Oreochromis niloticus: one gene and its partner. The protein of the gene in region 1 purifies or fractionates together with the protein of each later gene. This does not show direct contact. Links are inferred from orthologs where the notes say so. Each region holds a gene or a part of one and is shown in the gene's direction. Other genes may lie near its edges.

Region 1 (16,476 bases):
CGTTAACATCCAAACGCTGCAGCTGATCTGAGTCCTCACCTCGTGCGACAGGTAGAAGGCGGCGATGCCGAGCGGCCAGAAGCAGCAGAGCATGGAGAAGACGCTGAGGCCCAGGTGATCTCTGGGAGGCATCAGCAGGAAGGCGTCCTCGCTCTCTGATTCGCTGGAGTAATCGCTCTGATCAAAAACACGAATCAATCACTCACCCGGAGCAGCTTTTCAGGCGAGAACATTAGACACCTGTGTGTATGTCTGTGTCGCCACCCACCTGTCGGTCAAACAGGCCACGCCCCCAACAATGCAAACTTTAACCCAGGTGAGTTATAAAAACATCCTCCCACATACAGTTGTTACTTAACAGCACATGGAGATTTTAACACAGGAGTCTAGGGGACTGACTCAGTGCTGCTGCCTCTGCTGGACACCAGAGGAACTGCAGCACATGGAGCTTTCTGATTGGTTTTGGCTAAAATGAAGTCTACATTTTTGTTTGTTTCTACAGATCCAGCAGGAATAAAGAGAGAGGCCGTTCCATCAGCTGGCTGTGGGGGTTGAGCGTGACACTTTCAGGAGGCCAGCGCTTGCCTCACGCCTCAAGTCAAAATGGAGGCTGCTGTAAAACGTCTCGTGGTGCTGTGACGTCCCTGATGGTGTTTGTGTACCTACTGCAGAGAAATCAGTTTCGCATCCTCACAAATGTCATTACTGATTTAATTTTAAACTTCTGAAATAAAACTTCCTGTGAGCTTTAAACTCCTGGACTGGTTTCACTTTACAGCTTTAGGTGAATAATTCAGGTGATTCACCAAATTGTGACTGTTACTGCTCCTCTGAGTGTGCCCTGCCCTCTGGCCTCTTTAATCCCTGCAGCACACACACACACACCCACACACACACCCACACCCACACACACACACACACACACACCCACACACACACACACACACACACACCCATTAGAGCTGCAGAGTAGATTAAAGCTGGACTTCAGTGAGACAAAATCTCAGCTAATCGTCTCTAAAGCGATTGGCTGTTAGGAGGTCAAACGTGTCGCTCAGAGAGCTGCAGCTCTGAGTGCTAATCTCATTCTGCAGGAAGCACTCTGACTCCCCATCACGGACGGATGGACGGACTTCCAGCCATCCATCCGTCCACCTGTCTGTCCTTCCCTCTAGCCCTCAATATATCCTTCCTTTCATCCTTCTATCCCTCCTTCCATCCTTCCATCCATCCTCCCACCTATCCTCTTCAGAAATCGGATCAACACAGCAGTGGGCTCAGCAAGTATTCCAGATGTTTCTTTACTAGCTTTACTTCCTGTTATCCAGAGCTGTTCCCAGGTCAGACAGAACGTCTAACGTTTCCATGTGTCTGTATGTTGTCAGTCGTCCAGGTCATGGTAATCTCAGGAGCTTGGAAAGAAGAGTGGGCTTCTTTGACGTTTCACTCTTTATCAATTCTAAAGAGAAGCTTCTCAGATGACAGCTGAAACGTCTTGAAGTAACTCAAAGAAGCCCGGTCGCTCTTCTTTTCAAGCTCCTTATACTATAATCTTTCCATCTAGTTCTGGATGGATCCGGTGGGGTTTCTGGGCATGGCTAAAACATTTCCAAAGAGAAGCATCCAGGAGGAACCCTGATCCTGATCAGATCTGATCTGAAACACCTCCTTGATTCTGAGATCCCTCAAAGTGCGGGTTCCTCACCCGATCTCTAAAGAGGAAGCTGTTTCTGCCACTTGGATGCCACAGCTCACAGTCACAATGGTAGAAATGTACATTTATACTCAAAGGGGAGCAACCAGCTGTTGCCCAGCAGGTCTGAAGTAGTCAGAACATCTGCGATGCTTTAAAAAACTTTGGGTTAGAGCATCTGTGAGCGACTGATGATGACCAGAAATCACTAAGCCAAGATGATGAACCAGCAGCCACAAAAGCTCCTTCAGAGCTCAGCTATAACAGTAACACCGCAGATACTTTAATCTTGACTTTCTTGATGTCTCTGATGATAGCAGATATCAGCTGATTTCCAAAATCTGCTGGATGTGCTTCATCAATGTCACCTACTACAGCACAGACAGGTTTGTGTTCACACACTGTTTTATATATATTTCGATTCGATGCCCTGACCTCCATCATGCTGAGCTCACTGATCACCAAACCAAGCCTCAAGCTGACTCACAGTGGCTCTCACGTCTGGTTCTTCCTCTGTTAAAGAAGATCTGACTGGATCACAAGTCAATGTGGAAACTTTGTTAACATCTTTCCACTGTGATGCGGTTGTTGTTGTCATAGCAACGACTTTAAATGGCAAAAACATTGGTGTTCAGCCATGCTTCCTTGGTGTGGTAGCACCCATGAGGAAACCCGTTTTGACTACCACAGAGACGTTTGACAGCAGCATCTAGTGGACATGAGAGGAACTGCAGTGCCTGTTTTCCCTCAGTGAATATATGCTGATGACACTTTTCTGTCAGAACGAGAAAAAGAGTCTTGGCACTCGTTCTTCAGACCTCTGCCCTCACCTCGGCTCAGGAGCCAGAGTGAGTCATCCACCAATCAGAAGGTCAGTGGTTGGGTCTGGGGTTCTGTAGCCAGAGTTTTCCCCAACTCATCATCAGAGTGTGAGTGTGTGAACGTAAGGTGAAAAGAGCTTATTTACCTCGAGCTCCTGGAAGTCTTCATCGTCGTCGATGTCATAGGACAGCCTGTGAATCTTTGCCTCCTCGCCAGAAAACTCCAGATACTTCCCATCAGTGAACAGCAGCACCTCCTTTGTGGAGGTGGGGGCGGCAGAAGAAGAGGAGGCTTCTGGTCCAAGTCCCTCGATGAAGGTGGTCTCACAGCAGTCGCCTCCCCCGGCCTCCCCCCAGGCCCGCAGGACACTCTCTGGGCACAGGAAGAGGCCGGGGGCCGGCCTGAGGCCAGGGTCTGGCACCCCATGGTGGGGTAGGAGAGTGCTGGGGTTCAGAAGCTGGGGAGGACCCCTGCTGTGCTCCTGCTGAGTGGAGGTGCTCATCACCACATGACCCTGATACTGAGGAGCAGAGTACACTGACAGCAGCGCCTCCTGGGGCTCCGCCCCCAGCCTGTGCGTGTTGATCAGGCCATTTTGTCTGCAGGATTCTCCTCCTCCTCTCTGTGAGACTCTCCCAAGCCCGGAGGAGGTTTCAGTCTCTTCTCCTCGGCTCTCCTCGTCTCCTCCACCTTCCATCTCTCCTCAGAACTCGTTTCCTCCTCGAGGGGTCTCTCAGAGAGGTCAGAGGTCAAGGGTCAGGCATTGTGGACTGAACTTTGCTGAAAAATAGAAAAAGAGAAGATAGAATAGAATAGAATAGCCCTTTGATGTCATTGTACAGGTGCTCCACACCAACTGTGACAGCAGGAATAAATACAAAATAAGATAGAGGCACACACTGGAGAACAAAGGAGGAAGTGCAACAAAAGGCGTTGGTCCGTGTGTGACGGGCCTGTCCTGCTGTCCTCACAGGCAGAAATATCCTCACAGCACGGACACATGCACCCGTGTGATGTGTGTTTGCAAATGTGGTGTGTGTGTGTGTGTGTGTGTGTGTGTGTGTTAGAGGATTCACCTGCTGAGCTGCATCCTGCATCCCATGAGATGCCTCGATAAACACCTGAGGTCCTTTTATGTTTTGGCAGGAAACCATCAGCAGGAGGACAGTCTGACATACGGGGACATGTCTGCACTGCTGTGTTTGCGGCTTCATATTTGGACCTGATGATGGTCTGTTTGGAATATGTGACGTCAGCAGCGTGTGTGAAACCTTAAACACCTGAAGCACCTGGTATATTAGAGCTCTAATAAAGGATTTCGTGCCTCGGCCCTCCCTCCATACAGTCGTCAGATATTGTGGTGTTTCCTGCTGGTGCTTCCTTGGCTGTGGTGTTGGAGGTGTTCCTGACGTTTTTGGTGTATTTGTGACTCTTTGAGCTGAAACATCAAATAATCCACAGCACATTAATAATAAAGCTCATCTTCAAAGCTGCGCCCCCACCATCACCACCAACAGGCGCACGTGCATGGACACCGCGCACACGCACGTGCACGGATGTTTACAGAAAAAACCTCATCGTAGACCCGAATACCGACACTCACCGGCTCTGACGTCAGCACGGTGATAGCCACACGCGCACACACACAAACACGCGCACATACTCACCTCCCAAGGTGAGACACGAGAGCCGTTCATCCACCCATCTGCGCATCCAGGCGTGACAGCGACCCCCGCGGCTGTCCCGCAGCCGCTCTGGGTGCGCTCTGAGCGGGCTGAGAAGCGGCGGGGTCCCGATGCGAAGCTCCGGATTTCCAAAACAGCCGTAAGAGGAGAGAGGCAGGCGGGCAGGCAGGTGTCCGTCTGCTCCGAGAATGATTCTCCTGCAGAGAGGAGGTGGAGAGGAGGAGGAGGAGAGAGGAGGCATGTGCGCTGAATACAGAGGAGGTGTGTGTCAGCAGAGACTTCTTCCACAGGGTCCTAAAGCCCCTCACATCAAGCGAATGACGAATTGAATAAATCGTCCTTGAAAACGTCCAGGTTTGGACTCGTGAAGTCAGACCCGCTGAACAATCGCATGTTTGCTCGGACTTAGAACTGGTTTTAGTTTGGAGTTGATCCTGATCTGCATCCACGAATTTCTCAAAGAATTCAGAAATTCAATTAATGTTGAATTTTGGACATCAGATCTTCTTTTGTTTTTAGCTGGGAGACATCGTCCTGATGTTCTAATATTACAAACCGAATCTGTTCCAGATCTCCTTCTGCAATCAGTTCATGCAGGAAGTTTATGATGTCTCAGCTCCACCTGCTGCTTTTCATGCAGAAACAATCTTGTAGAGACTAAACAAAATATAAACGAGGGAAGAGTCAAGAGAGAGAATGTCAGGGTGAGATATTCCATCAGGCGTCATGGAAACAGGACATTTTAAAGTGAACCACACTTTCTGTCATAAACACTCTTCAGACAGAGTACACTCACTAAACCTTCATCAGGTCCCATTAAACCTGGTATGAGTGATGGTTTGATTTTATCAGTGTGTCACATCACTGTGGACGAGGAACTCACAGCTCGTCTGAGCGGTTTGCTTTTTGTGCGTCAGATGTGCAAACATCTCCACTGTGCTGTGGTTTGTTCCAGACGTCTGGTGGTTTGTGCAGTTAGGACTCTGCAGACCTAGCAGAGCTGCCATGAGAGAGGAGGCATCAGGTCATCAATGCATCCGATCAGGTCGTCAGTGCATCCGATCAGGTCGTCAGCGCATCCGATCAGGTCGTCAATGCATCCGATCAGTTCATCAATGCATCCGATCAGGTCGTCAATGAGTCTGATCAGGTCATCAGTGCATCCGATCAGGTCATCAATGCATCCGATCAGTTCATCAATGCATCCGATCAGGTCGTCAGTGCATCCGATCTGGTTGTCAATGAGTCTGATCAGGTCATCAGTGCATCCGATCAGTTCATCAGTGCATCCGATCAGGTCGTCAGTGCATCCGATCTGGTTGTCAATGAGTCTGATCAGGTCATCAGTGCATCCGATCAGGTCGTCAGTGCATCCGATCAGGTTGTCAGTGCATCCGATCAGGTCGTCAATGCAGCCGATCTGGTTGTCAATCAGTCTGATCAGGTCATCAGTGCATCCGATCAGGTCGTCAGTGCATCCGATCTGGTTGTCAATGAGTCTGATCAGGTCATCAGTGCATCCGATCAGGTCGTCAGTGCATCCGATCAGGTTGTCAGTGCATCCGATCAGTGCATCCGATCAGGTCGTCAATGCATCCAATCAGGTCGTCAATGCATCCGATCAGTTCATCAGTGCATCCGATCTGGTTGTCAATGAGTCTGATCAGGTCGTCAGTGCATCCGATCAGGTTGTCAGTGCATCCGATCAGGTCGTCAATACATCCAATCAGGTCGTCAATGCATCCGATCAGGTCATCAGTGCATCCGATCAGGTCGTCAATGAGTCTGATCAGGTCATCAGTGCATCCGATCAGGTCGTCAATGAGTCTGATCAGGTCATCAGTGCATCCGATCTGGTTGTCAATGAGTCTGATCAGGTCATCAGTGCATCCGATCAGGTCATCAGTGCATCCGATCAGGTTGTCAGTGCATCTGATCAGGTCGTCAATGCATCCGATCTGGTTGTCAATGAGTCTGATCAGGTCATCAGTGCATCCGATCAGGTCGTCAATGCATCCAATCAGGTCGTCAATGCATCCGATCAGGTCATCAGTGCATCCGATCAGGTCGTCAATGCATCTGATCTGGTTATCAATGAGTCCGATCAGGTAATCAATGCAGCTGATCAGCTGCTGCTGCCGAGCAGAAGAATAACGGCGCTTCCCCTGGGGGCGGAGTCAGGTTTCCACGCAGTTGTTAATTCATTAACATCGGTGTTATAGAGCTTAGGTTGGATTTGAGCTCTTAGGACCTGCTGGAGCCCCACCCACCTGATGTTTGTGAGGGGTAGCCAGTCAGAGGTAAGCTGTGTGGAAAATGGGGAGGAGTTAAATATCTCGCTTCAGACAGAGGATGCAGAGAGGCTGGTGTCAGGTAAAGAAGGATTATTCTGAACAGGGACTCATGCACAGCTGCTTTCAGAGAGTCCAGGAACAGACCACACGTTACCATCAGGAGGGAGGAGGTAACGGAGGGGAGATCAGGATGAAGCAGAGAATTTTGGAGGAGGCTGAGGAAAAAAACGTCAAACATCTGAGTGAGAAGAACTTGTCAAAGCAGAAGAATAAGCTCCAAAATAAATTCATGGATAGTAACCGAAACTAAACAGGATGTAGGGTGCGCTGTACGCAATGATGGAGTCCTCATTTCCTGTTATCCTGCTCCACCCACACCACCTTTTTTGAAAAGCATGCAGGAGTGTTTTTGTGTGTTTTACTGTGTAAGATTTAACCTCATGTTGAATATGAGCTGCACAAAAGGGAAGTGCTGAAGCAGCTTAATGGTAAAAGTGCCTTCAGTGATCCACACATCACAACATCAGGTCACTCCTGCAGAGGGAAACATAAATCAGCACAAATGAAAAATGCTGCATCCCCTTCACGCTCACTGCAGACCTGCACAGCTTCATCCACCTCACAGGTCCAGGGCAGATCTGACAGACGCAGCACTCCTCCTGTCAGACCACACTCAGGGCCCACCGTCACACCTTCACGCTGAGGTCTGAATGTTGGAAACAAAATGAAAAAATCAGATTTTGTCTTGAATTTACTCATTTTTATCTTCATGACTCAAAATTCTTTAGAACCAGATTTCCAGCTGAGTCCAAACTTCCTTTCCTGTTTTCATTCTTCGGTTAGTTTCGGTTAGTAGGGGAAAGTACCACAGCTGTGGAAGACCTCCTGTGTGGTACCGGTACCAAAGACCTCCCATCCCAAGGACCTCAGCAGCTACAGGCCGGTAGCCCTGACATCACATCTGATGAAGACCCTCAAGAGGTTGGTTCTAAACCATCTGCGCCCCCTGGTGAGGTCTTCATTGGATCCGCTGTAGTTTGCTTACCAGCCTGGCATTGGGGTGGAGGACGCCATCATCTACCTCCTGCACCGAGCTCTGACTCACCTGGAGAAGCCTGGAAGCACTGTGAAGATCACGTTCTTTGATTTCTCCAGTGCTTTCAACACCATCCAGCCACGACTTCTGAGAGACCAGCTGGAGCTATCGGGAGTGGACCACCACATGTCCCAGTGGATACTGGACTACCTCACAGAACGCCCACAGTATGTGAGGTCACAGGGCTGTGTCTCTGACACACTGGTCTGCAGTACGGGGGCCCCACAGGGAACTGTGCTGGCACCGTTCCTCTTCACCCTCTACACTGCAGACTTCTCCATCAACTCCCCACGCTGCCACCTACAGAAGTTCTCTGACGACTCTGCCATAGTCGGCCTCATCACAGGTGAGGACGACTCAGAGTACAGACAGTGGACTCTGGACTTTGTAGACTGGTGTCAGCAGAACCACCTGCTGATCAATGCCGGGAAAACCAAGGAGTTGGTGGTGGACTTCTGGAGACGCAGACCCACCACACTGACACCGGTGAACATCCAGGGAGTGGACATTGAGATAGTGGACTCTTATAGGTACCTGGGTGTTCACCTGAATAATAAACTGGACTGGAGCCACAACACTGATGCTCTTTACAGGAAGGGTCAGAGCAGACTCTACCTGCTGAGGCGGCTGAGGTCATTTGGAGTACAGGGAGCGCTTTTAAAGACCTTCTATGACTCTGTGGTTGCATCTGTCAGTTTTTACAGTGTTGTATGTTGGAGCAGCAGTTTATCGGCAGCTGAGAGGAAGAGGTTGGATAAACTAATCAGGAAGGCCAGCTCTGTTCTGGGATGCACCCTGGACCCAGTGCAGGTGGTGGGAGACAGAAGGACTCTGGCCAAAATAACATCTCTGATGGACAGAGTCTCCCACCCCATGCATGGAAATGTTGCTGAACTGCAGAGCTCCTTCAGTGAGAGACTGCTGCATCCTCAATGCATGAAGGAGCGTTTCCGCAGGTCCTTCCTCCCTGCAGCTGTCAGACTGTACAATCAGAACTGCTCCCAACAATCACAGATGTTTACATCAGTGCTGTAACTGCAATAAGTTAATCAACCGATTTGCACTACAACCTGGTTTGCCTCTTATCTGTAGTTATTTTTATTTAATTTAATAACTGTACAGTACTCTGTTTATAGTAACCATTGTCCTTAATGTAAATATGTAAGAAAAATTGTGTATGTTTCTGTTCTGTGTCCTGTGTACTGTTTGTTTGTATATGTGTCTTTTTGGCTGCTGTTACAACCAAATTTCCCCTTGTGGGACAATTAAAGGATTATTCTATTCTATTCTATTCCCTAGTTCCTGCTGCAGTTCACAGATTAAACGTCAGCGCCCCCTGCAGCTGTGGACGCTTTACTGCAGCACACACACCTGTGAGCCTCCAGGCGCTCCTCCCTGCAGACTCTGGAGCAAGGCTGAAGGGAAAGCATCAGATAGTGAAAAATGAAGAAAATGCAAGAAATTAAAAACTGATATTTAATCTTTAATCAGCGTGAAATGGGATGCTCATACATCCGGCAGGCCGGGGTGGTTGTGACGGAGGAGGACGCCGGGACAGGAGGAGTAGCTGCTGTCTGTAACTCAGAGAACAGAACACTTTTGTTTTTGGAGCTTTCCTCTCCAAACAGCAATAATAATATTAATGTGCAAGGGTTAGACAGACAAAAATATCACCTGTACCTGACCCTCTGCGGTTACACCCTTACTTACACCTGTCTGTTACACGTACCTATTTGTTGCACCTGTGTACCTGTTAGTTACACCTGTACAGACCTCTCTGATGTTTTCGCCTTCCCTGTTGGACTCGTTGGGCTGATGTCCCACTGCCGTTCAGCGGGGGGCGCGCTGCTCAATCAACCGTAGTTTTGAACCCAGCGAAGAAGAAAAGTGTCGGCGCGTGCGTCGAAGAAGAGGCCGTTAGTGACGCTGTTCCTGTCACAGTGCGCAAATGCGCATCCAGGAGTGCAGAACTCTGGCTGAGAGCGAGCAGAGCCACACCGGCAGGCTGAAAAACGAAACCTTAGGAAGGAAGCGAAAACAGCGCTCCAGGGGGGGCACTCAGAGCGGGGGGGAGGCCTGTGACGCAGCAGGTAAGCCGGACTTACCTGACACTCGGCTGGTCCTCCGGTCCGGGCCGTGGATGCCCGCGGAGCCGCTTTCCTGCCGGAGGCCCTCCGTTCACATCCACAGCCCACCCCGAGCCGCCCTGAGAGCGGCGCACCAAACTCCATTCAAAAAACTGCCAATTCAGAACAAACGCTCCGCAGAGAGCAGAAACACGCGCAGTCCCGTCCGTGTCTGAGACGTGTGGCGAGCCTGTCGGAGGCTCGCTTCGCTTCGGCACACTGATACTGAGGTTCAGATGGCAGGCTATCGCCACCAGGGCTCAGTCAGGAACTGTTGGCTCGTCCTCTGAAGTTTGTCTGAGGTGACGATGATGCAGAGAGCGGAAGACTGGATGTAGACTTCATTATAACTTGTGTTTAAAAACGGGAAGTTGGAGGCGCCGAATTTACTAGAATATTCTATAGAGCAAAAAAGAGTGAGTTAGTCTGATCAGCGAGCTGTTTAAAGTTAAATGGAGCTGCTTCTTTTTTTTTTTTACATGGGCTTTGGTGTGACGTTTTGAGCGCTCCGTCCATATGGCTCACCATGAGTAAAAGTTGGCTGGTTAGGTGTGATGGGTAGTTAGCTGGCATGTTAACCAACAAAGCGTGCCGCAGCTTTGACAAAGTGCGTACAAAGCGCAGATTTTTGCGGTTAAAGGTGAAACTAACTGCGGCAGCGAACTAGCCTTAGCAGCCATGTTAGCTTGTTGCGTTCAGATAAAAATAAAAAAAAAAAAAAAATCAAGGGCCCAACTAATTCCTGAATCTACAGGACTGTCAGTGAGCTGATGCAATGAAAAGTCACTTTGACTTCATTAATGACACTGCGCTAAAGGCAGGGCAGCGGCGAGCACAGGTGACTCCAGAAATTACTCTCCTTCTTACCCAAGTTTTAGACGTAGCCCGCTGAAGCTAGTAGCCGTTAGAGCGCACGCTCAGCTGACAGCGGGGAGACGCACCGGGATCGTCCCAGGGCCGAAACACAGCTGCAGCTGGAAACCAGCCGACTTTGTGCTTCCACCAAACTCCTGTCAGAAATCCACAAATTTTGCCCTGACATCAAACTAGTGTCACATCTGTTTTATTTCACACCAGCATCCACTCGGAGTTGTGGTCATCTTAGAGTGATCTTCTCTATACCCAGCTCCAGTCACATCTGCAGAGTTCACCCCATCACCAAAGTCCAGTTAGTTTGATTTCTGCATATTCTTCAGAATCCAGTAAGAAATGTGCAGATTTGACCGCTGACATCACACTACAGTCACATGTCTGTGTTACTTGTCGTTATGCCAGAGCTCCATTCAGTTTCTGGTCATTTTAGTTATTTTCACGATTTTCTTTGGGTTGATCAGCTTTTCTGTTTTTTTTTCTCTTTCTCAACAAAAACGGAGTTATACTTCAGGTGATGTCATGTTCTCGTGGCCTCCTGATGAAACATCAGTCAGATTCTGGTTAATTTTAGAGTTTGTTTATATGAGAAGTCACAGAAGACCTGCTGGTTGTACACTGCTTTAACTCTAACACCAAACTCCAGTTAAATGTTTGATCATTTTCGAATACAATAAAACTGTTACATGACTTTATTCCCGCCACAAAAGTACAGTTAAAATTTGAAGTATTTCTCTTTGGGTCTGCATGTTTTACTCTTTCACTTTCACTTCAGAAGTTCTCCTCCTTCACACACATGTTCAGTCAGAGTAATTGTTTTAAAGAGAGGAACCGAAAGAATAACGATTCTAAAATCTGCAGATTTCTGACTGGAGTTTGGTTTGGAGATCATCGGTTGCCACTTTCCTCAAAGTCCAGTCCCATTTTTGGTAAAGTAAGTTTACTGAAACATAAATAAGCGCACTTCTTCTCTTTGAATGACCACTTCTCCTTTTCTGGCTCCTCCCATCAGTGACCATGGTTGGCGAACGCCGCAATGGGAACCTGCTGGTCCAGCTCGGCCCGAAGCTGCAGGCGTATCCCGAGGAGCTGATTCGACAGCGGCGCACCCACGATGGCCAGACGGAATACCTGATTCGCTGGTGCCTCATCGCCATTGACGATGGCTCCAGCTCTGGAGGTGGTGCCAGCGAAGTGGGCGGGACGGTTGGCGTCAGCTCCGGGGTGGGCGGGTCCGTGAGCACTGTGTCTGGAGAATCCAAACCGGAAAACATCCTGATGTGGATGTCGACAGAGGATGTGTACGCCAACTGTCCCACACTGCTGGGCAAGAGGAAGACGGACTCCCAGCGCCCCCTGCAGCAGGAGAAGCAGCGTGGCGGCGAGGCTTCCGACTCGGGCATTTCAAGCGGCACAGAGTTCCCGTCCGACGTCACCTTTGACGAGGTGGAGCTGTCGGACATGAAGGAAGACGTGAAGAACCTGGTGTGCCGAGCCCGAAAGCAGATGGCCAAGAAGAGCGACTTCTCCATCAACATCATGCACACCATCCACGTGTTGAGCGCCTACGCCAGCATCGGCTCGCTCGTCGGCGTCTTTAAGGAGACAGGCGCGCTCAACCTGCTGATGGAGCTGCTGTGCAACAAGGAGACGCAGACGAGGCGAAGCGCCGGGAAGATGCTGCGTGCGCTCGCCTCACACGACGCAGGTAAGCAGCGCATCTTTAAACCACGCTGTGATCGGATACAGGGCTTAGTTCCCCCCCCCGGTGGGCTGTGATGATACTGCAGGCTTGTTTTAGAGTCCTCAGGTGGATTAGGCGCCATTATTCTTTTACATTCTCAGCGGTAGTTGAACAGAATTAACAGCTGGAGCTGCTGTGGGAGATAAAATCATCAGAATATTAAAAAAGGTCAGACTGGATCTTCTGCCTGTGTGCCGGTCAGTTGTGTTTTAAGGGTTGGGTGGGTGGCGGCGGCGTTCTGGAGTTTCAGTGATGAATGAAATGGGAAGTGAAGCGTGAGGACCGATCAGAGTAATGACATCTGCGCGCTATGCGTCACACCTGTTTGTGCTGAGTACCATCAGCTGATAGACCGAGGCAACACCGCCTCCTCCTCCCAACTCGCTCTAAAATGTGGCGTAAAATATAAAACTACTACTTTGACCAGCTGGCCAATAGGATTAGAGGGGTGTTTTTCAGTGGGTTTGGTCTTTGATACACGACATGAGCTCGGCGCGGTCGGCGGTGTGCTCCAGTGCTGCATCAGCGTTCAGGTGTTGGCGATTGGCCAGCGTGTGAGAACGATCGTGAATCGGGGGAGGAAGCGTTTTCCGACGGGGAGAATGTCCAGTCAGAGGCGGTCATGACGGGTGGACTAAAGTTTTTAGCTCGTGAACCCTCAGATAGCCTGACATCATGTCACCGTGGCAACAGAAATGTTCAGCTGACTCGAGAAAAAACAGGGCGAGCCCTCGCGTACAGGAAGTTCAGAGTGCTGTGTCACCGCGGTCGGCCGTTTGAGGCGTGCAGGCCGAGGTTAGCAGAATGATCAAAGGCAGAAGCGTGAAGCTGACGTTAGGACGCTGAGATCGTGGTTGCCTTAAGATTTAGATCTGGACTTTGGAGAAGCCGCCTGAGCGTCGAGGGGTGATGACTCAAACCTTTAAACGGGCCTCAGGCGTGCAGGGACAGCAGCCATGTTTACATGCCACAAAGCCATGGAGGAGTTTGATTCCTGCTTGGAGAAGCAACACTGCTCCTCCACGTCATAGCTGGAATCGGAGCAGAAGAAGAAAGTTTCACGTTTTCACGCTCTGAGAATCTCTGAACTCCCGTACTGATGGAGGTGGAGGAGGGAGTCCCGGCATAGACTGCTCCCTCTGAAACAGTCGGTGACATCAACGCCTGTCACATGATCAGTACTCTGATAGAACGGTGCTGATGATTAATAATCAATAAGTTGTGATCATGCTCTTTCTCAGTAATGTTCCAGTTACTGATGGTAATCACAGCAGCGTGAAGCCGAACAGGCACTGGAGCTTTTTGATGGAGAAACTGTTTTATCTCTGTCTACATCCGCCTTGTTAAAGTGTGCATCCTGTCACGCTCGTTACAGCTCGGTCCAGAAACGCACTCGTCGGTGCAGGCAGCCAATCAGCAGCAGCTCCACACTCGGGCTAAAATGAGCGTTTTTATGAATGGACTCTGGTGGCTTTCAACAGAGGTCCACATCTGAATGTGTCTAAAACTTTGATTCTTTCAGGTTTATTCTGTCCGTGTTCAGCTGCTTGACGTCTCGTAAAGCTCCGCCTCATTCGTTCGTCTTCACCTCAGAGCTGAGAGCTTTGAGCGCTAATGCGGGTCGAGCGTGATGCCGCGTTTACTCTGACATGGTCTGAAAAAAATCAGTTAATCAATAATTTGATCAGATGTTTTAAGTCCTTGTTAAACACTGCCTCCACCCTCCTGGCTCCGCCCCCTGCTGATAGTGTAAAGGACAGGTGTCGAACTCCAGGCCTCGAGGGCCGGTGTCCTGCAGGTTTTAGATGTGTCCTTGATCCAAGCTGATTTAAATGGCTAAATGACCTCCACAACATGTCTTGTAGTTCTCCAGAGGCCTGGGAATGAACTAATCATGTGATTCAGGTGTGTTGACCCAGGGTGAGATCTAAAACCTGCAGGACACCGGCCCTCGAGTCCTGGAGTTCGACACCCCTGGTGTAAATGGTTTAAAGTATAAATGTGTGCTTATGGGCTAGCGCCTCCTGGAACGACTATTGATCTGTTATTGAGTGGTGTCAGGTGCTGAGGGCGTGTCCTGCTGTGTCGCACGCAGGCAGCCGGGCATACGTGCTGCTGTCTCTGAGCCAGCAGGACGGCATTGAGCAGCACATGGACTTCGATAACCGCTACACGCTGCTGGAGCTGTTCGCCGAGACCACGTCGTCCGAGGAGCACGGCATCTCCTTCGAGGGCATTCACCTGCCGCAGGTAAGACTCGTTTCTTTATGTTGTCAGAGGTGTGCCTGTGTCGCCCCGCCCAGCAGGGGGCGCCGCTGCAGTAAACCTGTTTGACTGTGTGTGTTCAGATTCCCGGGAAGCTGCTCTTCTCCCTGGTGAAGCGTTACCTGTGCGTCACGTCTCTGATGGACAAGCTCAACACAGCGGGGGCGGAGTCAGGCTCTGAAAAGCTGGACACCTGCCCTTCTCCCGCCTCTTCCTCCAGCAGCTCCGCTCACCAGACGGAGCAGCTCCGCATCCAGCGGGAGTTTGACTTCACCATGGCCATGGCCAACCTGATCTCGGAGCTGGTCCGAGTGATGGGCTGGGACCGTAACCGCCAACCGCTTGATGGCTCCGCCCACCTCACGGGAGGTGTGGCTGGCGTGGAGGCTCAGGGGGAGGAGGCTTCCCGCCCTGTCCTCAGGTCCATTTTTCAGCCTCGATTCTGCGCCTCCCCTGTTGCTCTAACCACCAGCTCCGGTGGCGCGGCCCCCGCCGCCACACCACCAAAGAAGAAAGCAAATGGTTTCAAGACACGCTCGGACTTCACCTGCCGCTCCGCCTACGTGGAGTACGTCCAGGACAACCTGAAGAGCGGCATGATGGTCCGCATGCTGGAGGACTATGAGGAGGTGAGCGCTGGCGACGAAGGAGAGTTTCGCTATAGCAACGACGGCTCGCCACCCGTACAGGTGAGGAAACCCGTATAGGTGGGCTGAAGTAGGGGGTGGGGCTTCATGCAGGTGTAGAGAAAGATTTGGCTGTCAGAGTAGAGCGCACAAACATTAAATGGAAACACAAGTTGTAGCACACTACAGGAAATCGCCAGCAGAGGGTAGCGAGCACAGGTAACCAGCGCTCAGTGAACACCATCAGAGTGTAGCTACTGAACGCCAGCTGGTGGAGGAGAAACATGGACGAAGCTGTGAGCAGTGTTAGCCCCTCCCCCCAACACACACAGTCAGCTGATTTTTATTTACAGTGACATGTTACCTTCATGCTGTGAATACTTTCAGAATAAAAGCCCTCAGAGTACACGGAGGTGCGTCCACATTTGGTGCTCTTATTTTTGAGTCCTTAACTTAATGAGTTAGAAACTGCACTCAGATCAGCGTGACTCAGAGCCTGCCTCTGACCCGCTCTCTGCTGTGTTCAGGTGTACTGGAACTCCCTGTCCAGGACTTACTGGGTCCACTGGCACATGGTGGAGATTCTGGGCAGCGGCAGCAGCAGTCAGGCCGAGAAGGAGACGCAGGAGAAGGCCTCCTCTCTGACCGAGACGCTCAAACTCTCATCAGGTAAGAGCCGAGCGCTGTCTGCTGCTCCTTTGCTTTCCTCCGCAGTCTGAGCACGTCTCTTCTTCTCTCAGTGAGCCAGACCTTCTTCTTGAAGCCTCCGGGCGGTCTCTACTCTCTGCCCTACCTGTCCGAGGGTCTGAACACGGAGCCGGTCACTCTGAGCAGAGCCGAGTGGTGGGAGATCCTCTTCTTTATCAAGAAACTGGAGCCGAAGCAGCAGCAGGAGGTCAACGGCGTCCTGCTGCAGAGCCTCGATGACCAGGTAGGAGACGCCTTCGTCTCTTGGGTTTAAAGTCAGAGCGCGGGGAGGCGGATCATTGCGGTGAGAGGATCTGACCGTCAGCCGCCTGTGGCGTAAGCGTGCCGCTACATCACCTTATGTCCTTTGATAAGAGTCGCTGCACGTGTGCAGCTTGTTGGACCAATTAGATCACGAGAAGCTGAAATATCCTCTGAAAATAAAAATCAAAGTCTGCAGAGTTTATCGCAGCGACGGTGAGCGAGGGGTTCATGGCCCTGGTCAGTGCACCTCCCAGTCACATGGTACAAATAAACCTGAGTCTGAGCGCGGGACGGCGGCCGCCTG
Region 2 (15,900 bases), on another chromosome or scaffold:
AGTGGAGCTCCAGGTTCCCCACAGAATCAAAGGGGTTAAGGGTCAAGGCAGAGAGCTCCCGCCGCAGACTGTTTTTCTGCTCCCTTTCCTCCTTCAGTGCTTCAAGGGCCTCATCCAGCTGCCTCTCTGCAATCTCCCTCAGTCTTGCAGCTTCCTCCAGCTGCCCTCGCAGTTCCTCCTGCTCCTCGTTCTTTTGGGTCAGCTCCAGCTTAATTGATTCAAACTCAACCTGAAATAAGATTAGAAGCAGGACAAGAAGACTTTCTTTGTTATTTTATTCAGTTCATTGTGTATGAATGCAAATTCTATCCCAACCATGCAAATACACTTATCACTGCATTTAGCAAAGTTACACTCACAACCAGGCAGCTTCAGTAGGCAAATGAAAACTACGCTGTTTGACTTCATAGTCACCCAAACCAATAATTTTATTATTGCTATAGTATAAATGAACAGTCAAAATAAGGTGGATAAAAATGTATCTATTTCTAATAACAATGTTTGCTGTGCTCTTGCTAGAAACACTGTAGCCTTTTAGTAGCCTAACTTAAGCTTTACACAAAGGACACATAAAATAATGCATGCTTCTTATAAATAGCTATAATATAACATTGAAAGTGTCCTTCTATGATTGACAAGCTAAAGATCAGTTAGGGTACGTGTGTTAACATCAAAGGGCCAAATGTGTACGGTCACTGACAATTTTTATTCTGGCCTGGATATCATTTTAGGTTATTGAGAAATTCTGGTCTTCCAGGTTGTAGCTGTGTTCTAAACAGCAACTGCAGGTTAAAAGCTTGCTAACACAGAATGCAACAAAATGAAAGAAAAAAAAGGAAAGCTTATACTGAGGGCAGACAATTTCAACCAAAGCAAGAAACTGGACAGCTTATGCTTTTATCAAGTGTAAAGAAAGGCCAGTGTATCAATTTCTCAAGAGACATTTTATGTTTTCAAAACACATAATTTGCAGCATTGCACTGATGTCTGAATTGAAATAAATTATTAAAATCTGAGCTAACACTAATTCTCAAGTTCAGTCTGTTATAAAAGGTACTTATTTGGCTATACGGTAGCTTACTAATTGGCTAGCTTTTATGTGGAGCACATTATGTATGAAAAGGCCAAATGAGACATACATTTTGGACTCAAAGCATGTCCATCTGTCCCTTCATGGGATTCTCATTTCCCAGTGTGTCCCTTAAATGAAAATGAATGTGGTTTCATTTAAAAATTATATTCAAGACAGATAGAGATAGAGATGTCAAAATATTTTCTTTCAAAGTCAACTCACAGGTCACGTACATTTTTCCCAAATTTAGTACTGACAGAAATGTGTTTGCACATCAAGCAGACTTGGAATAACTACTTAATACAACAACCAACATGAAAAGTTTACATATAAGAAGTGCAGCTTCTGTGGAGCATTTTTCCAAAGCTGTGCTGATACTTACAAAATATTCTCACATAAAATTATGAAAATATCTTAATTCTCAGAGCACACAATGTCATCTAGAATGTGAAAAAATAAATAAAAAGCACAACATCCCGAAATATCTTGAGAAACATGAAATAGTTACACTGAAACATGGTTGCCATGGTGCAACACACAGCTATAATTATACACTTTCAATCACACTGCATTACAAAATGTTAAACTGGCTTTGGTATTCGGTTTTCAGTGAAAGCAGGTTTAATGGGAATATACTGTCTAATGAAAACACAGGTAGTCATGAGATGAATATCATGTCCTCTGCTGTGGGAGCTGCTTCATTTGGTGAAAAGAACAATACTATTCACCCAGCAACCAGACTGTCCAGTCTGTTCACCAGCAGCTTTTTTGTTACTATCCTTTGAGGTTTTGACAACAAACATGTTGTGTGGTATACTGTATTTTTTACCTTCTTCCCCATGTATGAAGGAAGCATACATTGTAGAATTCTGAATCCAGTAAGGTGTTAAATAAAAACCTTTCTGAATTATTTCTCTTCATTTCTCCATACAGTTGGAGATTAGGGTTATTGATAGAGGAGAGAGATAGGCAGAGCAAGCGAGCTCTGGCTTTGGGCATTATCAGGTTTAGCTAAAACCCTCCTAGTTACCCCACCGCACAAGTCTACTTCAGGTAACTCAATTCTGTGGCAAAGGTGAACTGCTTTTCTGTGTCACTGTGCTCTTTGGCCCTGGAAATCCCAAACACCTACTGTTTCACACATCCATGTCTCCTCCTCAGCCCCTTCCTGCCCCTTGCCAATTTAAAAAAAAATGTTTCAAATTTATGCAGCAGATGGGACTCAGAGGATGTAGAGTGGAGATTTTTTTTTATTGATTTATTTCATGTTCTTTCAGTAATAAAACCAGTAAATATAATGTTATACAAAAATGATTGTGTGAAGGAAGGTGACAACTGACCTGGTTTTCCTTGAGCACAGACACCTGCTTTTGCAGAGATATGTTCTCTTCCTCTAGCTCCCCATTGTCTTGCAACTGGCGCAGCTCACGTACTTTATATTCCTTTATTTCATCCCTCAGGTGGCCCTTCTCTGCCTCAAGACATTCACACTCCTGTGGGAGACAATCCACGATAAAATCAGTGCAAATGACCGCTTAACATGCTTAACTGTCAATTACATATCATATATAGTTAATTATTGAATGAGGCTAGAGAACTAATATTTTCTCTATAGGGATTTAATTTTTATTTGTATTTATCACGAGAAGAGGGAGCCTGGTAATATACACAGTAACAACGGTATACAGGTGTACTGAATGAGTACACCATACCTTCTTCAGCTGGGTGGAGAGCACCCCAAGTCTATCAATCTCTGCGTGGGCATTGCCCAGAGCAAGGCGTGCTTGCTTCAGCTCTGTCTGAACTTCCTCTATGCGCGTTGCCATGGCAGCCTCTTTACTGGCAGTCTCTTGTAGCAGGCTCTCCTCCCGGCACTCTCCATCAGCAGCTGCACGTTTCTGGCTGCTCACAGAATCTGCAAATGCCTTTACACAAACAAAAACTGATAAGGAAAGATACAAAACACTATTTGACACACTATTGTGTTACACATTGGGGGAAAAAAAAAAAAATCACTTGCAGAACTGACCCATATCGTTATAAAGATAAGAAATGTAAACAATTTAAACAAAGGAGGGGAAATTGCACTTCCCTGTCAGTTTTCAGTGGACATAAATCACCTGAGACCTGACTGCAATGAGGAAATAGCTGATATGGTTCTGTAACCTTAGACCTTCACAGCAACCTCCACAACATTTTTGCAGATCTATTTGTTTTGCCAATATTATACTATGACCCTAATACATTACAGTTATCTAGTAATAATATGCATTTCTTCACAGCGTGCCACAATCACAAACCTTGACGCACACTATGCGCCAATAAGTGCTAATGAAAGAAAGATCACATAAGGGGTTTAATGAAACAAACAAGCTACTAAACATGCCTAAATGAACACTAATACTATGGTTACACAATGACCAGCACAGGAGTTCAACCCGGCCAAAACCTAAATGGGTAAATAGCCAAAAAGAAAGGAGGTTTACACTGATTATAAAGATAGCTGAAATCAGAACCAGTATAGCACTTGAATTTATATGGCATTATAAAGCATCCCTGCTGACCACTTTTACTGTTATTTTTACAGATGAACTGATTAATATCAGTAACTATCTGTAAGAAGGATTTTTATTTTTTTATTTTTCCCCTTTTAATTTGAACAGGCAGATAGAATAACTGCAAAATCAGAAATCTGCCCACATGACCGGACTTAGTTTTATAGGATTAGTTTCTTACATAAATCAGTATTTAAAAGCCTGTTCCAGTAATACCAAATACCTTTGTGGGTCTATAAGTATTTGTGACAAAATTTACATTAGGAAACAATATTAACCCTTTATACCTGAATTTAGCAGTAAGCATGACCCATCTATATATGTATAATACAGGAATATATTCATTTTCATGTTATTTGCTCAACAAAAACACCACTGCTTAAGTAAATGAAAAGCTAATAAACAAACTTGTTAAAACATTCTTAATATGCTAATTATACTTCAGTGTTTTGCATGGAGACAACACTGCATTAATCAGTTATTTTAGCATGAAATTCAGTGGCAATATGAAAGTGGGGTCTAATATAGTTCTTATACCTTTAAAATTGAGATTCAAACGATCTAGTAAATATGGTCAAGTCAGTATTACTGCACAATGGTTATTTACTTAAAAAAAAAAAAATGAGGAAAGTGCATTGTTTAGAATATGAAAACCCTATTTCAATGCATCTATGAAAGGCATGGTTTATACACAATCTGAGCTTTGCTGTATTGCCCTGATCTTTTTATCGTGAATATCCTGCTCTGACCTTATTAAATCCTTAATGCTTTAACATAACGAATCAAAATCAGCTTAATACAGTGGCTTGCAAAAGTATTCGGCCCCCTTGAACTTTTCCACATTTTGTCACATTACGGCCACAAACATGAATCAATTTTATTGGAATTCCACGTGAAAGACCAATACAAAATGGTGTACACTTGAGAAGTGGAACGAAAATCATACATGATTCCAAACATTTTTTACAAATAAATAACTGAAAAGTGGGGTGTGCGTAATTATTCAGCCCCCTTTGGTCTGAGTGCAGTCAGTTGCCCATAGACATTGCCTGATGAGTGCTAATGACTAAATAGAGTGCACCTGTGTGTAATCTAATGTCAGTACAAATACAGCTGCTCTGTGACGGCCTCAGAGGTTGTCTAAGAGAATATTGGGAGCAACAACACCATGAAGTCCAAAGAACACACCAGACAGGTCAGGGATAAAGTTATTGAGAAATTTAAAGCAGGCTTAGGCTACAAAAAGATTTCCCAAACCTTGAACATCCCACGGAGCACTGTTCAAGCGATCATTCAGAAATGGAAGGAGTATGGCACAACTGTAAACCTACCAAGACAAGGCCGTCCACCTAAACTCACAGGCCGAACAAGGAGAGCGCTGATCAGAAATGCAGCCAAGAGGCCCATGGTGACTCTGGACGAGCTGCAGAGATTTACAGCTCAGGTGGGGAAATCTGTCCATAGGACAACTATTAGTCGTGCACTGCACAAAGTTGGCCTTTATGGAAGAGTGGCAAGAAGAAAGCCATTGTTAACAGAAGTTCTGTTTGCAGTTTGCCACAAGCCATGTGGGGGACACAGCAAACATGTGGAAGAAGGTGCTCTGGTCAGATGAGACCAAAATGGAACTTTTTGGCCAAAATGCAAAACGCCATGTGTGGCGGAAAACTAACACTGCACATCACTCTGAACACACCATCCCCACTGTCAAATATGATTGTGGCAGCATCATGCTCTGGGGGTGCTTCTCTTCAGCAGGGACAGGGAAGCTGGTCAGAGTTGATGGGAAGATGGATGGAGCCAAATACAGGGCAATCTTGGAAGAAAACCTCTTGGAGTCTGCAAAAGACTTGAGACTGGGGCGGAGGTTCACCTTCCAGCAGGACAACGACCCTAAACATAAAGCCAGGGCAACAATGGAATGGTTTAAAACAAAATATATCCATGTGTTAGAATGGCCCAGTCAAAGTCCAGATCTAAATCCAATCGAGAATCTGTGGCAAGATCTGAAAGCTGCTGTTCACAAACGCTGTCCATCTAATCTGACTGAGCTGGAGCTGTTTTGCAAAGAAGAATGGGCAAGGATTTCAGTCTCTACATGTGCAAAGCTGGTAGAGACAAACCCTAAAAGACTGGCAGCTGTAATTGCAGCAAAAGGTGGTTCTACAAAGTATTGACTCAGGGGGCTGAATAATTACGCACTCCCCACTTTTCAGTTATTTATTTGTAAAAAATGTTTGGAATCATGTATGATTTTTGTTCCACTTCTCAAGTGTACACCACTTTGTATTGGTCTTTCATGTGGAATTCCAATAAAATTGATTCATGTTTGTGGCTGTAATGTGACAAAATGTGGGAAAGTTCAAGGGGGCCGAATACTTTTGCAAGCCACTGTATAGACATCCAAATTAACATATGTTAATAGCAACATGCTGACTAACTGGATGCGAAAACGTCATAGTCAGTTAACACTCTTCTCCTGCCAACGTCAAATGACATGTGAGGCAAACCTGACTCAACATGTGATCACAAGACAAGACATTCAAAGTATAATATTAGGTCACAGCTGTAACAGAGCTGTTACTGTTTTATCAGAAAGTGAGAGCTACAAAAAGACAATGACGGGATGAACAGGCAAATTCATGACATAGTCCACTGGCACGTGTAAAAAAACCTCAACAATGGTATCTTTATAAGACTGCTAGACCGCAAGGCAGCTCCTCAACTATGAAAGATAAAATGAAAAAAAATTAGAGAGATTGTGCTTATATATAATAGCAGCAATTATGGTGTTGATGGCATTTAAATGATGCCTACCAATAATGTAAACACATTAAACCTGATAATTATAAAATACAATTTTTGTATGGTGTCTATTGTATCATGATTTTCATACCCTGCAAAAAATACAAGAGTTCTGTTTATTAGACCATTACTGTAAAAGCTGACAACAGGAAATGCATTTCATTGCGCACATGTTATTATATAAACAAAGATCACACAGCAAGTGTGTGATATAGGAAAACTGTACCTGGAAACCAGGGGAATGATGATCTCACAAGCCTACCAGGTAAATATATAAATGGACTGGTTTTTATATAGCACTTTTCCCAATCACACAAGCACTTTTTTCTATGCTTTTCCTATGTAAGTGCTTTCTATCTAACATTCACACAGATTCATACTCTGATGAATGCATCAGAGAGCGAGTTGGGGTTAGTATCTTGCCCAAGGATATTTGGCATGCAGACTGGAGAAGATAGGATTGACCCACCAACCGTCCAATTAGTATGTGACCTGCTCTACATCCTGAGCTACAGCCAGCACAAATATATAAATAAACAATCTAAAAAAAATAACATATGCCTTAGGTGCTCCTACCTCTTTGAGCTGTTGTAACTCCAATTTGAGAGATTCATGCTCTTCTTCTAGCTGTGTGTGTTTCATCTTGAGGGCAGCACTTTCCTCCAGCACCACCAGACCGTAGCGGGCTGCCTGTAGCTTTTCCTCTGTGGCCTCTTGAAGCTCGAGAGTCAACCGCATCACCTCAGCCTTCAAATCCCTGCTCCCCATCTCCGCTTCCTCTTCCCCCTCGGCCACTGCACCTGCTGGGTCTGCACCCGCCTCCAGCATCCTTACTTGGTCTCCTGCTTCTCTGCCAATGTTTTATTGAGACAACTGCCTCCTTCACTCCTCTGCTTTCATTACGCCACACCACTAAGGTAAAAGACAAAGAAAGTGGTTACGTAAAATACTTGGAGATAGAGGTTTTTGCATAAATTGTAGTGTGACACTAATGGAGTAAACTGTAAGGTTTAACTTTGGGATTAGTTTAATGGGATAAACGTTTTACTAAAGCTTTAAAGACCAGGAGAAAAATCCAAGAGATTAAATTAAGATCAAGTGCTGAAAGGGCTGCATTGTCAGCTAGAGTGCTTTCTGAATTTTATATTTTTGCACAATTGTCACACTTAAAGTTTTTCATATCATCAATTTCTAATATTGAGAAAGATAACCCAAATAAAATAAAATGCAGTTTGTTAATGCCGATTTCATTTATTAAGGGAAAAGCTCCTGGCCCAGTCGTAATGGTAACAGCCTCTTTTGGTAAATCATGAATTAACTGATTAATCAGCCTTGACTTGCTGCATAAAATAATCAGAACAGAACATGTCTGACAAAGTGAATTAGGAAAAGAGATCTGGTGAACCTTCCCCCAGGAGTGGTCATCCTACCAAAATTACTCCAAGAGTGCATCTTTTTGGCTGCTGTTACAACCAAATTTCCCCTTGTGGGACAATTAAAGGATTATTCTATTCTATTCTATTCTAAGAACAACATCTGAAGAACAGCATTCAACAATAAGAAAGAGGCTGGGCAAACTGGTATCTATGGGAGGGTTCCAAGATGAAAAACCATCAAAAAGGATACAAAGGCTCATCTTGAATTTGATCGAACCATGAATTCTGCTTTCTACCACAAAATTCTGAAGGAGACTATCTGACTATTAGGTCATGGTCCAGTATGGATTAAGAAAATAAAATGAAGGTTTTTGAGTGGCCTTAAGTCCAGTCTTAAATCTGATTGAGATGTTTTGGCATAACCTTAAACAGGCCACTCATGCTTGAAAATTACTCATTGTGGCTGAATTAAACAATTTCTGCAAAGAAGAGTGGCCAAAAATCCCTCCACAGTGATGTGAAAGACTCATTGCCAGTCACTGCAAATGCCTGATTGCAGTTCTTGCTGCCAAGTGTGGCACAGCCAGTTATTAGGTTTAGGAGGCAATTACTTTTTCACACAGGGACAGATAGGGTTGGATAGCTTTTCATAGCTGTTGCGCCTTAAAAAGCTAAATGATCATTTAAAAACTTCACTTTGCATTTACTCAGTTTTTTGAGGTCTAATACTAAAATGTGTGTGATCTGAAACATATAGGTCTGACAAATATACAAAAACATAAATTAAGAAACCGTTTTCACCGTATAAGAAATGATATAGGCCTAAAACAAACAAATGATTACTGAGGTCTCCTCACATCCCATAATTAACAAAAACAGGCTTAAACTTAAATGCAAGGGGATGCTGGTGCTATGCGAGTAGCATCGACCAGTCTTCATCTTTCACACTACGCAAATAACTGCTAAACACTTGAAACAGCTGCTACACGACCAAGGCGCGGAAACAACATGTGTTTACTTCGACCAGCCTGGGTGGGGCAGATTCCCCCGATTTCCTCGTGTCCTCTTGTCTGACCGAAGATGGAAACACCGGCCCGCTGGTCGTCCCTTGCCAAAGGATGTAGCTGCGAGTTAGTCATGAAACAAGCATCTGCTTCCTCTACGCCACGAACCAGTTCTCCGTGAACATAGACTAAGAGCTTGCAACTGAGAATATTCGCTACGTTTCAAAGTAAGAGGATATTAATCAGATAAAACACATATTGACGGCAGTCAAAGACCACAGTGGAGTGAAGTGGAAATATGAAACAACCAAAAACAGCTAGCAGCACCAGCTGATGCAGATAGTGAAACTGACTTTAGCTAGCTAGATAGCTTCTTAGCTTTGCAATTTCACCTACCTACATACCCCAACCGAACGGACGCCAACAGTCTAACCGATTAACTAACTAACGGGGTTGGAACACTGTCGTAACAGGAGCCGGATCCTATCAGGCAAGCTAATTAGCCGGACAGCCATCATTAGCCTACCTACATACTCACCCTATGGCTTTATCCCAAAGATGGCACTTGGTGGCTGCTCGCAAACGTTAGCCTTGCACCTCCTAATGGAGCTGTCTTTCTTAAAAGCAACGGTAGCTAATCACGAAACAACAGCCAGGGGTACCAACAGCGGCGGCAGCAGCAGTTTCCCTTCCTCCCACCAGTTCCTCCTCCCGTTTCTCCTCCCGAGGTCGAGTGTCAAACGCGCGCCGAAATCGCCAAGGCACGAGGACCCCCTCTAGCTTAGCAACGAGGCAATACAACCTCACTTAGAACCTTATTTTCATTATATGGATAGTTCGGGCCAGTTGTTTCTAACAGGGCGTGTTAGTTAAACGTTAAACCCTGAAAAAAATTTATATAAATAAATAAAGAAATAAAGAAAAGAAAAATTAGTAAGTGAATACACTTCCGGTCGTACCGTTCTTGCCTTCCGCTTTTCTTCCGGATGTGCACATTATTGTGGCTGTTTAGTTAGTTGCAGTGCTACACAATGAAGGTCGTTACTTGGAACATAAACGGCATCAGGGCTTTCAGAGGCGGCATTAAAAAGGCTCTTGATTCCCTGGACGCAGATGTTATCTGTATTCAGGAGACAAAAGTGACGCGTAAGTGATTAGCAATAGCTGGTTTAAAAACGCGGGAGCTGTCATCACGCAAGGCGACACAGTTAAAATGACTGTATGAAAATAAAAACGTTAACCCCTAATTTCTCCTCCACAGGAGACTTGCTAGATGAAAGGATTGCTATTGTCGACGGATACAACTCCTATTTCAGCTACAGCCGAGGGCGCAGTGGCTACTCAGGTTCAATACAAAGTTATAACAGTTCCTTTTGCGTCCGTGAGCCTTGAAAGTGTTTGGGTTTTTTTTCGTGCATTATCATCCAGTTATATTAAGTGTCCACATTCAAGAAAGTGCAGTCTTCTAAAATAAAATGCCACATTTATATTTTAATGAAAAGTTAAACATTTCCTCGTAAAACTGCATTACAAGCAATTCACCTCACATTGCCGATGTGCACAGGTGTTGCCACCTACTGTAAGGAAAGTGCCACTCCATTTGCTGCTGAGGAGGGCCTCACAGGTCTGCTGGTCAACCACAAAGATGCTGTTGGATGCTATGGTGACCACACTGAGTTTTCAAGTGAGGAGTTGCAGCTGTTGGACAATGAAGGCCGTGCTGTAATCACACAACACAAAATAAAGTGAGAGGAAATGTTATATGTTAAGGCTCCTGTTTTAAGTGTGATGCACTGCATATTTATCTGTTTACACATGGCACTTTAAAAACAAATAATCAGCAATTTTTATGTTTCTCTCCTCAAAATTGTCAGTTCTTCTCAGTTAGTGGGGAAATCCCACTGTGTGCTTGCCTTTTTGTTTGACTGAGTTTTATTTTATCCCAACAGATGTCAGGATAAAGAGAAAATCCTTACTGTTATTAACGTATACTGTCCGAGGGCTGACCCAGAAAAGCCGGAGCGAAAGCGGTTCAAACTACAGTTCTACAACTTACTTCAGAGTCGAGCTGAAGCTGTACTGAAAGATGGAAGGTGAGAAATTCATGTTTCACTGGCTGAGCAAAACATTGTCGTTACAAGAGTAGCAGGTGTATCCTGGTTTCGCCACAGATGTTTTTTTAAGGCACTGTGCTAATTTTGAACAACGCAGCTCTTCCAGTAAATCATTATTATGTCTTTGAGTTTTGGCAGTGGGCCCTATGTTTTGCTGTTTGTAAAATAAAGCCAAACACTATCTGGTGTTTATAATTTTATTGAATTGTAAGTTAGTACAGACAAAGCAGTATATTCGAAAACAGCTGCTTCTGCGTTTATGGTTATACACCTTTAGTTTAATAACATTTATATATATTCTGATAAAATCACAATTGTTGGACAGCAATGATGATGATGAGAAATATTTTATTTATTACATATTCCAGATTTTATTTAAAATTGTTCTTTAAATTCTACAAATGTATCGAGATAATGAGTTAATCTTTTTTCTGTTGTATTTTCCAGCCATGTGATTGTTTTAGGAGACATAAATACATCTCATAGACCAATAGACCACTGTGACCCTAGTGAAATTGTAAGTAAAATACTAATATATATATTTTTATATATATATGCTTTTTGATTCACATCAATCAACATTTTGAGAAGTAGGCTTTTTAAATATCTAGAATCCTGTGAAAAACTGCGAATAACAGCCTTACTGCTTCCATAGGATTTGAGACGGTAAATAGCAGCCAGCATCTTGATTAATGATTAATCAGAACGTTCGTCCAACTCTATCAAAGCACATGTTGTGGAAATTTGTTCGCCTGGGGCCTTCAGGTGTTTACACAATGTCTCAGCTTTCCCAGGAATGGCCATTCCAGTAAATTCACCCTCGTGTCAGAGCTTGCAAAGCTCAAAGAATTTGCAAAAACCCATGAGCTACACCAGACACTCAACAGGCTTCCTATAGAATCCTATTCTCTCTAAAACACAAACGTAACAGCACAACATGGGTTTATGTTGTAGTTCTGAACAAACCATAAGGCTTCTGAAACAGTGTCCTTCAGCACCACATGTGGAGAAAACCAAACACAGCGTATCAGCACAAACACCTCACACCAGCTGTCATCAGTGTGGTGGTGGAGGGGTGATGTTTTGGGCTTTTTAGCAGCCAGAACCTGTGCACCTGTCATTGAGTCGCCATGAACTCCTCTCTATATACCACTGTATGCCAGAGTCAAATGCAAGGTCACACATCTGACAGCTAAAGCCTGGCAAAAATTGGGGCTGTGATCCCGAGCATAGCAATAAATATATAACAGAATGGCTGAAAAAGAAAGAAAATCGAGCCATTTCAGTGGCCCAAAGTCCACACCTTAACCTAATTGGATTGCTGTGGTGTGACCTGAACACACCTCTGCATGAATGAATGCTCACAAACATCAATAAATTAAAGCAATACTGTAAAAATGATTGGACCAAAACTCCTCTACAACAATGTGAGAGACTAATAAAGCCATACATGAAGTTATTGCTGCCAAAGTTGGTTCTGTTGCTATTGTATCATGGGGTTTACATTTTCATTACTGTATTAAATTACACAAAAACAGGAAGTGGGGAAAGCCAACTTGTATAGCTTAGTCCAGACATATAAACCCCTCCCCCAAACCTTACATGCTACATGAAAAATGACTTCTACCTACAGTTTCCTATTTAATGAACAGACACAGTAGTGGGATCTGTCTCAGCAAGAAAGCAATTATCACCAAGTGAACTTAATGTAGAGGATTAAAATATTATTACATAAAATGGCAGATGTGTTGCTATATTATTATCCATAATAATGAAACTTTCATTATTTAGGATGATTTTGGTGAAAACCCTGGGAGGAAATGGCTGAATGGCTTTTTGCACCGTGGCAAACAGGAAGAAGAGAGCGATGAGGAGGAACATGACAAAGAATCCGAGGAAACAGATCCACTCCACGGTGGGAAATTTGTGGATACCTTTCGCTTTTTCCACCCAACTCGCATCAACGCCTTCACATGCTGGTCTACTCTCACTGGAGCTCGGCAGACCAACTATGGAACACGCATTGACTACATATTTGCTGACTGCCAGCTTGCCAAGGAGCAGTTTGTGGGAGCTGACATCATGCCAGAGGTGGAGGGTTCAGACCACTGCCCTGTCTGGGGGCAGCTGAGCTGTTCACTCATTTCTAGCCCAAAGCCTCCTCCCTTCTGTACTCGCTACCTGCCAGAGTTTGCAGGTAAACAGCAGAAACTCTCACGGTTCCTTGTTAAGGTGGACCAAAAGTCAGCCCAGTCTGAGCAGAAGAATGCTTTACCTGGTTCTCAAGAAGAGGAGGAAAGGAGAGAGAATTTAAATCCTTCTGGAGCTGCAAACATCTCTGGTAAAAAACGTTCATTGACATCTGACTCTGTTGCCCCAAAGGGAAAAAAAACTAAGACAGTAAATGCTTCTTCAAAGCCTCAGGGCAACCTCCTTGCCTTTTTTAAATCCAAAACCACAAACATTAACCAGTGTGAAAACCCACTAAATCTGGATGAAGCTGCCAAACCACCCATAACTGAAGAAGTGTTCTCTGTCACAGACACCAAATCTGAAGGTCCTGAGCTTATCTCTGACAATTTATCACAGCAGTGCTCCACAGCCAAAACTGACCAACATTTGAACACAAAACATTCACCCCCTCAGCCCACTGTAAGGCAGTCAGATGCAAAGAAAGGGACATCGTCAGTGTTTTGGAAGTCAGTGCTTCATGGACCACCTGCCCCGCCGTGCTGTAAGGTTCACGGAGAACCATGTGTTCTTCGTACTGTAAAAAAGGAGGGGCCAAACATGGGCAAACAGTTTTTTGTGTGTGCACGTCCTCAGGGACATGCTTCCAACCCTGAGGCTCGATGCAATTTCTTTGCATGGGTTGACAAAGTAAAGTGACATGTTTACATTAAGGTCCATCAATTTCAGCATAAACAATTGTTTTAACATTGCTTCATAGTTGTATGTTGTAGTAGTTGTATTTTTCTTTTTCCTATCAAAATAATAAAACACAGTAGTTTTATATTACTTCGAATTTGGTTCTATTTTTTGTAAATGCTGAAATAAGTGAGCAGATTAGATTTGCTCATTCATGTTCACTTGGTCAGCGAAACATTTGGGGTAAACAAATGTTTTCCTCCTTTTGGGCTGGTTCTTTCAGGAGTCACCGAACTGGATCATTTGCCTGAATCTCACCCTATTCCTAGCATGCTAACACCTAACACCACAGTCCTCTGTCTCTCTTGCTACCTCTGAACACTCCTTCCCCCACTGTTCCTCTTCTATCTTTGGCCATTGGCACCCAGCTTGTCAACAGCACTGGTATGGTAATGTTATGGAAGTCCTATTGATGAGCCACATCTTGGGTATGGCAAAAATCTTCCACTGGATGCCCTTCCTGACGCAACCCTTCCCACGTATCCAGGCTTGGGACTGGCACAATGGGTGTGCTGACTCTGGCTTATGGCTCCTCATGGGGTTTGTTGTTTTTCAAACAAAAATGTTAAATATTTTTAAGCTTCAGCTTCATCAATTTCAGGCTTATTAATTTTCCTTCCTTATATATGATTGCAAAAATAATTCTATTAATGCTTTTTGTTATGTTTTTTTTACAGTTGGTTGCACCAAACTATTAGAGCAAATTACCTTTGGGCAAAAGGAACTTTTACCTTTTTTCTATTAATTAATGAAAGACGAAAGTTGTAGTCCGACAGCTTCAGACAGGCCTGTGTATAAACAACATTTTAGTTTCTGTCACATAATATATATGTGATGTTTTAAGATGTTAGTTATTTTGATAAAAATATATAGACCAGCTGTTGGCCTTGCATTTGAATTTATTGAACAGATTCTTTTTTCTTTATGTTATTTTTTGTGCATTTAGGTTGGTGGTTAGCACTGTTACCTCACAGCAAGAAGGTCCTGGGTTCAAATCCAGGCTGGGGTCTTTCTGTGTGAAGTTTGCATGTTATCCAAATCTCTTTACCTTCCCCCAACTCTGACTCTCCTAACATAAAAAATATGTTTATACCCACTAGATGGCAACAGCAGTGAGAAGATGCATTGCTTGAAATGAAATGTAACTTTCCACTGAAGCACATGTTATTCACACTACCAGCTGCATGACCGTATTACAACAACTGTTATGCAGGCCAGGAAGTGGAGTATTTAAATTGGTGTCTGATGTATTTTTACTCCCAGTTTTAGGGTGCACAGTAGAAATATTACTTCAATATGGCAAACTGTTCCATAGGTTAAAAAAAAAGAAGAAGAAGTAGAAGAGAAAGTATCAATCTCGCCAATGTCCAAATACTACATAAAGTAACAGCACGTACCCTGATCAGTGTGGGAGTGCCTTCTGAGAGGAGGAAATTTCTTTACGCGCGCATTTGCTATCTCCCTTCTTCCCCCATTTTTTTTCCTCTGCTCTTAGAGCCAAAGAGGAGCTCATGACTCTGTGAAAAGCTGCTTTTGGACTTGAACCAAGCAAGTTTGAACTTTCATCCTGTTACTTTTTTCTGGACAGAATACATTCATCTTCTTTCTGACTGTAATTAGGTGAGTACAAAGACCGGAGACATGTGCTACACGTGAGCAGCACGACTTCCCATTCTAAGACGGCAAAAGATGTCTAGCAAGTTGCTATTATAGCTACTGAGGACTAGTATTCATTACAGAAACAAGAAAACAAAGAACATTTGCACATTTCTGCTTTAACCCTTCAGATGAGGTTGTATCTCTATTGTCATCTGCGCACATGTTGGTCGTTGTCGCAGCACAGAAGAAATTTAAATGACTAGATGAAATGAGAGATCATCTCGGCTGCAGATGCTTGCTTGACTTTTTGTTTCAGGAAACATAAAGTTAAATGCTCAGGGCATGATTTTATCAGCACAGATTGTCACCTCACGGAGCATTTTCTACATCAAATATGATAGTTGCCTAGAATAGTTGCTCCATTCGCTACAAAGATAACATTCACTG

The links.
Region 2: the proteins of cul9 (region 1) and apex2 purify together in Homo sapiens (affinity purification with mass spectrometry; 3 studies listed by BioGRID and IntAct, counting the BioPlex papers as one, with this or other methods). This does not show direct contact. The link is inferred for Oreochromis niloticus from reciprocal best matches to the Homo sapiens genes CUL9 and APEX2.

Annotation. Positions count from the first base shown.
Region 1 is NC_031978.2:2,306,758-2,323,233, forward strand, and holds the start of cul9 (cullin-9), read left to right. Parts: upstream 1-9,478; 5' UTR 9,479-9,538; coding exon 9,539-9,680; intron 9,681-10,787; exon of another isoform or gene 10,788-10,918; intron 10,919-11,447; exon of another isoform or gene 11,448-11,519; coding exon of another isoform or gene 11,520-11,520; intron 11,521-11,598; coding exon 11,599-12,294; intron 12,295-14,425; coding exon 14,426-14,580; intron 14,581-14,678; coding exon 14,679-15,284; intron 15,285-15,748; coding exon 15,749-15,890; intron 15,891-15,961; coding exon 15,962-16,152; intron 16,153-16,476. Other genes in the region: uncharacterized protein syndig1, read right to left, coding at 3,265-3,953, 4,183-4,441. UniProt on the Homo sapiens protein: Core component of a Cul9-RING ubiquitin-protein ligase complex composed of CUL9 and RBX1. The CUL9-RBX1 complex mediates ubiquitination and subsequent degradation of BIRC5 and is required to maintain microtubule dynamics and genome integrity.
Region 2 is NC_031984.2:10,934,021-10,949,920, reverse strand, and holds apex2 (DNA-(apurinic or apyrimidinic site) endonuclease 2), read left to right. Parts: upstream 1-9,767; 5' UTR 9,768-9,843; coding exon 9,844-9,958; intron 9,959-10,073; coding exon 10,074-10,157; intron 10,158-10,376; coding exon 10,377-10,557; intron 10,558-10,761; coding exon 10,762-10,905; intron 10,906-11,373; coding exon 11,374-11,443; intron 11,444-12,717; coding exon 12,718-13,815; 3' UTR 13,816-13,944; downstream 13,945-15,900. Other genes in the region: zgc:162200 (protein bicaudal D homolog 2), read right to left, coding at 1-229, 2,413-2,565, 2,785-2,997, 7,009-7,260. UniProt on the Homo sapiens protein: Functions as a weak apurinic/apyrimidinic (AP) endodeoxyribonuclease in the DNA base excision repair (BER) pathway of DNA lesions induced by oxidative and alkylating agents.